3 linked regions of the Callithrix jacchus genome follow. The protein of the gene in region 1 interacts with the protein of each later gene in a pairwise test. Links are inferred from orthologs where the notes say so. Each region holds a gene or a part of one and is shown in the gene's direction. Other genes may lie near its edges.

Region 1 (3,753 bases):
AAGCAGCAAAATTTCCTCAGAAAAAAAATCCAATAATATATGATATATCACGAAACAGAGGGCTTATTATTGAAACGAATTGGTTAAATATTTGAAATTCGTAGCTGCAAATAATCACATTAAGAGAATAAAGGGAAAAGCAAGATTATCTCAAAAAAATCTATAAAACTCATGACTGAATTCAGTATGCAGTCATAATAAGTACTCTCAGCAAAGCAGGGATACAAAAATGATTAATGTACTAACATGTATCTGCAAAAATGACAAAACGCTCATACATGGAAATTAAAAACCATTCTCTTGTGGATAATATGGCACAGGATATGTTATAAAAGGCTGTCCTGCCACAACACAGCACAGATGGGGCTGAAAGAAAGGAAGGGAAACAAAGGGCTGCCATGAATATACCAGCAGAGAAAACAAAAGCCTGGGTCATGCAGGGGACAGTGCCTTATTAAGCCAGCATCAGGACTGGTTGAAGTCCCAGGCTTCTTCACAGTGGGAAAATGACCATAGTAATCACAATAAAGACAGACATCTGAAAGGTGCTCACTTCGCCTCGGATCAGACGTGCTCTCTGCTAATGACTTGCTGGTGAAAAGCGGATCCAACGTAAGCCCTCAGAAATCCCAGAAAACAAAGACCAAACGAAACGACGCCTTGTCAATAGAACAAATCGAAAAAAGTTTCCCGCAGTGACAGGCAGGGCATTAAAAGAAAAAACCCACAGACGTGAGACGGAATGAATCCAAAAGGAATTTATATAACTCACGTATGAAATGTTTCAGAATCTACAGAGCTATAATTTAAGGCAGACAGACGCGGAAATACAATGAAAGCGTGCATGACTGAAACTAGAAGAGATTACATGAAAACCTCATTCTCTTGAGGAAATGGTGTGAGGAGGGAATTAGGGGCTGCCGAAACACAGCGAAACAAGAGGCGGAAGGCAGACAAAAGGGGCCGGGTCGGTCCCTGCCTGCGTGAACAAAAAAGATGTCAGATGAGATGTCAGATTGGAAAATTGCCGCAAAAATCAGGCAGCGCACGTAGGTTGCCCCGACAGGAAGTGTCCGCCATGCTGCCTGTGCCCGGAAGTAGGTAGGAACACAGAGTCACAGGGAGCCAAGAGCAGGGGGGAAGGAAAAGAGGTGCACACTTCCCCCAGAGAAGTCTCGATCGTGGCCGCGGCTCCGGGCCTCAAGCCCTTAAAGAAAAAATACCGGAGACGTTCTGGCACCATTTCGGGGTGAAGAAGCTGCCATGGAAGAGCCTGCAGCTCCCTCAGAAGCCCACGAGGCAGCCGGGGCCCAGGCAGGTGCTGAGGCAGCAGGGGAGGGTGTGTCTGGGCCCGACCTTCCCGCGTGTGAGCCCTCCGGGGAATCTGCTGCTCCAGATTCAGCACTGCCACATGTGGCCGTGGGCTGGGCCCCCTTCCCTGTAGCTCCAGTCCCTGCCCACCTCCGCACGGGAGGCCTGAGGCCTGCCCCAGCCTCCGGAGGAGGAGCCTGGCCCAGCCCCTTGCCAAGCCGAAGCAGTGGCATTTGGACAAAGCAGATCGCCTGCAGGTATTATATACATGGGCAGTGCAAGGAGGGGGAGAACTGTCGCTATTCCCACGACCTTTCTTGTCGGAAGATGGCCACCGAGGGCCGCGTTTCGCCGTCTGGGGCCTCTGCAAGTGGAGGCCCTAGCACGGCTGCGCACATCGAGCCCCCGACTCAGGAAGTGGCGGAAGCCCCCCCGGCTGCATCCTCGCAGTCCTTGCCTGTGATTGGCTCGGCTGCTGAAAGGGGTTTCTTTGAAGCCGAGAGAGACAATGCAGACCGTGGAGCTGCTGGAGAAGCAGGTGTAGAAAGCTGGGCGGATGCCATTGAGTTTGTTCCAGGGCAGCCCTACCGGGGCCGCCGGGTTGCATCTGCTCCTGAGGCTCCTCTACAGAGCTCAGAGACTGAGAGGAAGCAGATGGCTGTGGGCAGGGGTGAGCGGTTTTGCTATTATGCTTCCAGGGGAGTTTGCTTTCGTGGGGAGAGCTGTATGTACCTCCATGGAGACATATGCGACATGTGTGGGCTGCAGGCCTTGCACCCCATGGATGCTGCCCAAAGGGAAGACCATATAAGGGCCTGCATTGAAGCACACGAGAAAGATATGGAACTCTCGTTTGCTGTGCAGCGTGGTATGGACAAGGTGTGTGGCATCTGCATGGAGGTTGTCTATGAGAAAGCCAACCCCAATGACCGCCGATTTGGCATTCTTTCCAATTGCAACCATACCTTCTGTATTAGGTGTATCCGCAGGTGGAGAAGTGCCAGACAGTTTGATAACAGGATCATCAAGTCTTGTCCACAGTGCAGGGTCACCTCCGACTTGGTCATTCCCAGTGAGTTCTGGGTGGAGGAGGAGGAAGAGAAGCAGAAACTTATTCAGCAATACAAAGAGGCAATGAGCAACAAGGCCTGCAGGTATTTTGCGGAAGGCAGGGGTAACTGCCCATTTGGAGACACATGCTTTTACAAGCATGAATACCCTGAGGGCTGGGGAGATGAGCCTCCTGGGCCGGGTGGTGGGTCATTCAGTGCATACTGGCATCAACTTGTGGAGCCTGTGCGAATGGGAGAGGGCAACGCGCTCTATAAAAGCAGTAAGAAGGAGCTTGTCGTGCTTCGGCTGGCCAGTCTGTTGTTTAAGCAGTTTCTTTCACTGAGAGATGAGTTCCCCTTCTCTGAGGAGCAGTGGGACTTGCTTCATTATGAGCTGGAAGAATATTTCAATTTGAATCTGTAGCATCGTGCTGTGGCATGTGGTCTAGTCTCCTGAGGTTCTGTCATCTTCTAATGCCTGTTTTCCCTATGTTGACACTCCTATTGCTTTCAGGGGCTGTTGAGGCAGTGTTTCTGTTTTCTTGTCTATTCTGAGTATCTTTTCTCCTAGGACTATGGTGATTATCTGTGTTAAAAAGTAAGTCCATAAAGTTACTATTTTGGTGAAATTAATATTAATGTCAGCTTATGGCTTTTTCGTCATCTCTGTTTTCAACAGGATTAACTCAGTTCTAGTTTAGTGTTTACTGAATTTCCACACGTATTTTGAAGACTCTCAAGAGTAAATATGGCAGAGTGAAAGGAGAAGTTTTAATTGAACTAGTAGCTTTCTGCTATAATAGCCTTAACAAATGGACCCTTGCAGGGCCTTGCAGCTGCTCATCTGTTTGTTTACAGTCTGTTCTTTCCCTTCTTCCCTTTCAAGTGCACTTGTTAAACTATGATGAACTTGTGACTTTGTGTTTTACTTGACCAAAACCAAGTGTATATGTTTACATGTTTTTATCCTGTTTAGCTTGACGCGAAATAATTTATATTTGGAAATTTATATTTAAGAATGATATATATATAATATATATGCATATATATGTATAAGTTATGTATTTGAAAAATATATAAAAGAATATACATCACAATATAATATTTATGTTTATGTAATAAAGTAAATACAGACCCAAAAGCTGAAGGTCAAAGCCTAACAGGATTGGCTGTTGTGTGAATGTGAGTTGTCTGAATAATCTTTCTGTCCCAGGCACAGAAGCCAGTAATTAACATGTAATGAAAAGGACTGTTCAAGTGGGTCTGGCCAGATGTAACAGATGCACATCTTAGAGGACTTACAAAGCATGATGTTGGTAATTCTTACAATGGCATTCATAGCTCACTCCATAAATATTTAAATGGTGTTCCTATGCAGTTTAGCCACCTT
Region 2 (3,085 bases), on another chromosome or scaffold:
CTTTGCATTTCCAAATGAATTTATGAGTAAGTTTGTAATACTTATCTTGTATCTGCAACCTTCTTAAAATCAATTCTTACTCCTATAGTAGATTAACTGTAGATCTCTTCGGATTTCCTGAATTCATGATTATTGACATGCAAATAAAGACATACTTATTATCATTTGAACCAGAAATTTGTGAAAAAGGTCTTTTTTTTTCTTTTAGTTCTGAAAACCCAACAAAGCTCTGTAGCACTACAACTCACTAGTTCATCTCATAGAAGGGCCTCATATGTCCAGGGGCCCCTCAAAAGGGGAGTCATCAGCTGCCCTGTCCTTTTCCAAGTTCTAAAAAAGCAGCTGTCGGTAGTGTCTATATTTGTATAATGATTTAACAGGACAGGTGGTTAGGATGTTTTCCCCAACTTTAATCCCGTTTTTCAATTAAAAATAACATTTTTTCCTCTTTTAAGACGTATATATTTTTTGTTTCATATGAAAGAACACAGAAAGGTATTAAGAATGAGAAAAGTCTACTCTTTTGGGCTCCTTTTCTGATATACCTCTTCCACTAGTTTTAGTGGAGGGAAATCAGAGTATTGGTAGGAGAGAGGACAGAAGGAGGTGAATCCTGGGAGCCAAGGACAGAGAGAGGCAAGTCCCCAGAGTGGGAACGGCTAACATCTCCCTGAGATGATATGTTCCTCCCTGGGCAGGCAGAGGAAGTCCGAAGAACACACAAAGAAAGGAGAGTGGCAAAGCTCAGGCCGGGGATGTTCAAAGGGACTCCCGGTGTGAATGGGGGCTGGCCCGAAAGCCCCGCCTGACTCGGGGCTGCAGGAGGGGGCGTGGGACGGGGGCGGAGCCGCTGGCGATGACAACCGCCCCACGTGACCTGCCAAGTGAGTCTGTCTCGCTCTGGTGTCAGAGCCGCCGTCGCTCGCTCCCTTCTCGGCAGCGGTACCTGCTCCAGGTGGCCCTGAGAACGTGCGGGCCGGGGGCGACCCCGAAAGTAGGAAGCGGAGGGGAAGCAGGTAAGGGACCTGGAGGAGATCCCTGGGGTTGGTGTTGGGGAGCGGCCCCGGCCTGAGGATGACCCACCCCCGGGTAGCCGCGCGGTGACGCAGGCGGTCCACCATGAAGCAGACCCCGGGCCCCACCGCCTTCCTTGAGCCGAGAGGTGCCCGGCCTCGCGAGAGCCGGCGGTCCTGAGGCTACGACCCTTCGGAAACACCTGCCTCCGCCACCTGCGCAAGCTTTTCCGACACCCCTGCCCCGCCCTTCTTGGTGCAGAAAATGGTGGTCATCTTGGGGGGAGGGGCTGCTGAGGCGGGGGGCGAGGGCGGCGAGGAGGGCCCGGGCTCGGGACGGGGAAGGGGCTGGGTGACAGCTTGTCATCGCTAGCGTTCCGCTCCAGCAGCCCCCACTCCCTGCCCCCTGCTCTTCTGCAGGTCTGAGGGACTAAGTGTCCGGCGGCGCGCCTCGAGTCGAGAATCGGGAGGAGGAGATCGCAAGGATAGGCCCAGGTCGGTGCGAGGTACGGTGGTGGGGCGGGGGTCGGAACGTGAGGAAAGCCCAGTCTGAGACCCCAATCCATGCCTTCACTCAACACTTCGCAATCCTTCCCCTCCCCCACCCCATCCTCGTCCTCCATTTTGGTGCCTGCAGAGGCCTGGAGATGGATCTGCAGGGAAGATGGTGGGCTTTGCAAGAGAGAGGGGCTAGGATTGTCTCCCCGCGAGGGCACACTGGGTCTCTCTGGTGGAAAAAAAAATGAAATTTTAAAATGGCCTTTGAAGTCCAGGGCTCTGAATTTTGAAAGGTGTATAGTAGGGTCTCTGTCCTCGGTGCTGATCGGTTCACCAAGAATTGAGTCTCTTTTTTTCTCTCTTGTCTCCTAGGAGTAATGGAGTCCAAAGAGGAACTAGCGTTAAACAATCTCAACGTGGAAAATGTCAAAGAGGAAAATGAAGAAAAAGATGAAAAGAAGCAAGTTGCTAATAAAGGGGAGCCCTTGGCCCTCCCTTTGGATGCTGGTGAATACTATGTGCCCAGAGGAAATCGTAGGCGGTTCCGCGTTAGGCAGCCCATCCTGCAGTATAGATGGGACATGATGCATAGGCTTGGAGAACCACAGGCAAGGATGAGAGAGGAGAATATGGAAAGGCTTGGGGAGGAGGTGAGACAGCTGATGGAAAAGTTGAGGGAAAAGCAGTTGAGTCATAGTCTGCGGGCTGTCAGCACTGACCCCCCTCACCATGACCATCACGATGAGTTTTGCCTTATGCCCTGAATCCTGATGATTTCCCTGAAGTTTATAGGAAGACCCCTGCTTCCTAAACTTACATATTTGTGGTGTACCTTTGTTGCAAACCTTTTGATGTTACTTATTTCTTGTGGGTCTCCTGATACCAGCTTCTAACTGAATGTTGTTTCTGACCCAGTTTGTAAGTTTCTGTCAGCAGGCGAGTTTTACCTACTGCATGGAAAGATGCTCATTATATATTGTGAAGTTAATAAAGCAGTTTTAAAAAGCATTCTCTGCATTCTTTTTTACTTTAAATCTTAAATATGAACATAAACAGTCATGTATATATACATATATACACACACATATATAGTAAATAATGTTTATCTCTGTGGTAGAATTAAAAGGGAATTTTATTCTTGCTTATCCATCATTTCTTATTTTTCAAAATGGAACTCTATTACTTATATATGACCACCTTATAAAAGCAATGTGTACACTTATTAAACATTTATGACAGAATCTCAATTTGAGCTTACCCCTGGGATCTCTTTTTAGAAATGTAAGTGACACATCTCTCTGAAGATCATAATATTTATCAGTAAGATGAAGACAAGCAACCTCCCAGGGTTGCTGTATTGACCAGATGAGAGAATAAGGTTGTGAACTTTCTCCCAAGTTCTTGCTCTTAGTGACATGCATGACCCAACCCTTTAGATATTTCCTTCCGTTATTAGAGGACATTTCCGAGGTGAGGTCTTCCCTATGCTTACAAGTCCAGTAGGCTTAGGAGTAGGTACTTTCATTCCTCTGCTGCTGCGTTCTATTGTCATCTTCCCTGGATATTATTCTGTC
Region 3 (2,946 bases), on another chromosome or scaffold:
TATGGCTTGGAGAGGGCAGGTGACCTGGCATGGAGGGCCAGAGGGTAAGTCCTCAAACAAGTGGCAACAGGCCACCAACTTGAAAGGGAAAATTGTGTAGTGATGGGAAATGTGTTCAACAAACCTACTGGGTGACTAATTACAAAGGCTGGGCTGGAGCGTCAGAGGCTGCTTGTTAAACACTTTATTAAGTGGCACTCCGAAAGCTGCCACCTGTGCATTCTGGGAGCTCAGAGGGGACCCATCTGGGGGATGGAACTGTCTTCAGGTAGACTGAGGAAGCAGCCTGGATCTCATTTCCAAACACAGCCTGGAGCTCATAGGTCAGAGGCCTCATGGGAGAAAATCTAAAGGAGGTAGGGTGCAGAAAAGAGTTTCAGGGAATTGGTGGCTATGTGACTTTGAGCAAATCTCACCCCTCTCTGAAACTTAGTGTACCCATCTCTATGGTCCTGTGTATGTCACAGAGACATGGAGGGGATTAAAGTTGATCATGAATATAAAAGTGCTTGAGAAACTGTATAGCCCTACCTATACATGAATTATTCTCCCCTGAACCAAGCGGGGGAAGTTACCTCTCCGGATTAGGAACCCCATCCTCCTGAACCTTTATGAGCTCTATCAAGGCTGAAGCAGCCAGGGGCTAAAGCCATCCTTAGCCCCTGGAAGGGCACTGTGAAAGAGGATCTGATATGAGAAGCCAGGCAGCTTCCTGATGTGGGCAGTCATGTAATGCCAGTCCTGAACAAGAGGGGGCAGCGTGGAGCCCAGAAAGGCACCTGTGCAGGTGGGGCCAACGCCCAGATTTCTCCTGCTGACTGTCCTGATGACTCACTCCCACATCCCAACCCTTTTACCTTTCATGCAGAGCCGGAAAGGGTGTGGGGAGGAGAGGAGAGGGAGGCAGGTCTTGGGCCCTGGTCCTGCCCCCTGCTCCTCCCCACCCTTCTCAGGGCCTGGCCACCCAGCCAAAAGGCAGGCCGAAAGCAGGAGAGGCACAGAGTCCGGGATTGGTCCCAGGCAGCAGTTACCCGCCGCCCTCCTGTCTGTTCCCAGAGCCATGGAGAGAGCCAGTCTGATCCAGAAGGCCAAGCTGGCAGAGCAGGCCGAACGCTATGAGGACATGGCAGCCTTCATGAAGGGCGCCGTGGAGAAGGGCGAGGAGCTCTCCTGCGAAGAGCGAAACCTGCTCTCTGTGGCCTACAAGAACGTGGTGGGTGGCCAGAGGGCTGCCTGGAGGGTCCTGTCCAGCATTGAGCAGAAAAGCAATGAGGAGGGCTCGGAGGAGAAGGGCCCCGAGGTGCATGAGTACCGAGAGAAGGTGGAGACTGAGCTCCGGGGCGTGTGCGACACTGTGCTGGGCCTGCTGGACAGACACCTCATCCAGGAGTCTGGGGACGCCGAGAGCCGGGTCTTCTACCTGAAGATGAAGGGCGACTACTACCGCTACCTGGCTGAGGTGGCCACCGGTGACGACAAGAAGCGCATCATTGACTCGGCCCGGTCAGCCTACCAGGAGGCCATGGACATCAGCAAGAAGGAGATGCCGCCCACCAACCCCATCCGCCTGGGCCTGGCCCTGAACTTTTCCGTCTTCCACTACGAGATCGCCAACAGCCCCGAGGAGGCCATCTCGCTGGCCAAGACCACCTTCGACGAGGCCATGGCTGATCTGCACACCCTCAGCGAGGACTCCTACAAAGACAGCACCCTCATCATGCAGCTGCTGCGAGACAACCTGACCCTGTGGACGGCTGACAACGCCGGGGAAGAGGGGGGCGAGGCGCCCCAGGAGCCCCAGAGCTGAGTGTTGCCCGCCACCAGCCGGCCCTGCCCTGCCCCCTCCAGTACCCCACCCTGCCAAGAGGACTAGTATGGGGTGAGAGGCCCCACCCTTCTCCCCCAGGCGCTGTTCTTGCTCCAAAAGGTTCCATGGAAAGGGACTGGCAGAGCCGAGGCCACCTGGGGCTGGGGATCCCACTCTTCTCGCAGCTGTTGAGCACACCTAATCACTGGTCATGCCCCACCCCTGCTCTCTGCACCCGCTTCCTGCCGACCCCACGACCAGGCTACTTCTCCCCGATCTTGCCTCCCTCCTGCCCCTGCTGCCTGATGTTAGGAATTGAGGAGTAAGTGTCCCGCCTTGTGCCTGAGAACTGCACAGTGGTAGGGGCTAGAGATTGTGTGTGTGTGTGTGTGTGTGTGTGTGTGTGTGTGCGTGCGCTTGCCAGTGCAAGATCGAGATTGAGGGAAAGCATGTCGGCTGGGTGTGATCATGTTTCCTCTCAATAAAGTTCCCCTGTAACACTCCTCCTGTCTCTTCCAGTTCTTGGCGATGGGCTGGGAGTGGGACTGGAATCTGATTTAGAGACCCTGAACTTGGACCTGAGTTAGGACCCTGACCTCCCTGGGTGCTCAGTGACCCGCACGCAAGACTTTGAGTCCAGGTGAGGCCGGGGTCCAGCTCTGTCCTTCAGGGAGGCCCCACACTGGACGGGCCCGGAAGGGGCCGGTGAACCCACAGGAGGCGCCAAGGCTCCTCTGCCGGGCTGAGGGGAGGTGAGTGGGAGCCGCGAGGTTGACGAGCTCAGGTGGGGCGGGGCAGGAAACAGTGAAGTCTCCGGCGTGAGATCTAAGGACAGCGCCGCAGTAGCGAGCGGCACTGAGCACCCGATTTGCAAGCAGGTCACAGTCTCATCACGGGCTCCGATCTCAGCGGAGGGGAATACCATCTGAGTGAGGCAGAGGTATAGCGCAACCCTAAAACCCCAGATCTCAGGAGAGAGTCGTGTCCCACAGAGTTCGGAGATGCAGACAAAAGGAAACCGACTGGCGGGGAGGAAGGACAACCTGGGTGAGAAGGGCTGCGGGGAGCACTGCCTGCCGAGCTCGCCGCCTCCGCTCTCGGCAACCAGCAACACGCCAGAACCTGCGAACGCCTTGCTC

Evidence for each region.
Region 2: the proteins of MKRN3 (region 1) and BEX2 interact in binary tests that used the Homo sapiens proteins (3 or more experiments, as listed by UniProt). The two-hybrid records come from large-scale screens. The link is inferred for Callithrix jacchus from reciprocal best matches to the Homo sapiens genes MKRN3 and BEX2.
Region 3: the proteins of MKRN3 (region 1) and SFN interact in binary tests that used the Homo sapiens proteins (3 or more experiments, as listed by UniProt). The two-hybrid records come from large-scale screens. The link is inferred for Callithrix jacchus from reciprocal best matches to the Homo sapiens genes MKRN3 and SFN.

What each region holds. Positions count from the first base shown.
Region 1 is NC_133507.1:5,632,384-5,636,136, reverse strand, and holds MKRN3 (E3 ubiquitin-protein ligase makorin-3), read left to right. Parts: upstream 1-1,153; 5' UTR 1,154-1,263; coding exon 1,264-2,787; 3' UTR 2,788-3,528; downstream 3,529-3,753. UniProt on the Homo sapiens protein: E3 ubiquitin ligase catalyzing the covalent attachment of ubiquitin moieties onto substrate proteins.
Region 2 is NC_133524.1:99,382,582-99,385,666, reverse strand, and holds BEX2 (protein BEX2), read left to right. Parts: upstream 1-886; 5' UTR 887-1,016; intron 1,017-1,433; 5' UTR 1,434-1,519; intron 1,520-1,883; 5' UTR 1,884-1,888; coding exon 1,889-2,275; 3' UTR 2,276-2,519; downstream 2,520-3,085. UniProt on the Homo sapiens protein: Regulator of mitochondrial apoptosis and G1 cell cycle in breast cancer.
Region 3 is NC_133508.1:63,512,141-63,515,086, forward strand, and holds SFN (14-3-3 protein sigma), read left to right. Parts: upstream 1-997; 5' UTR 998-1,060; coding exon 1,061-1,807; 3' UTR 1,808-2,310; downstream 2,311-2,946. UniProt on the Homo sapiens protein: Adapter protein implicated in the regulation of a large spectrum of both general and specialized signaling pathways. Binds to a large number of partners, usually by recognition of a phosphoserine or phosphothreonine motif.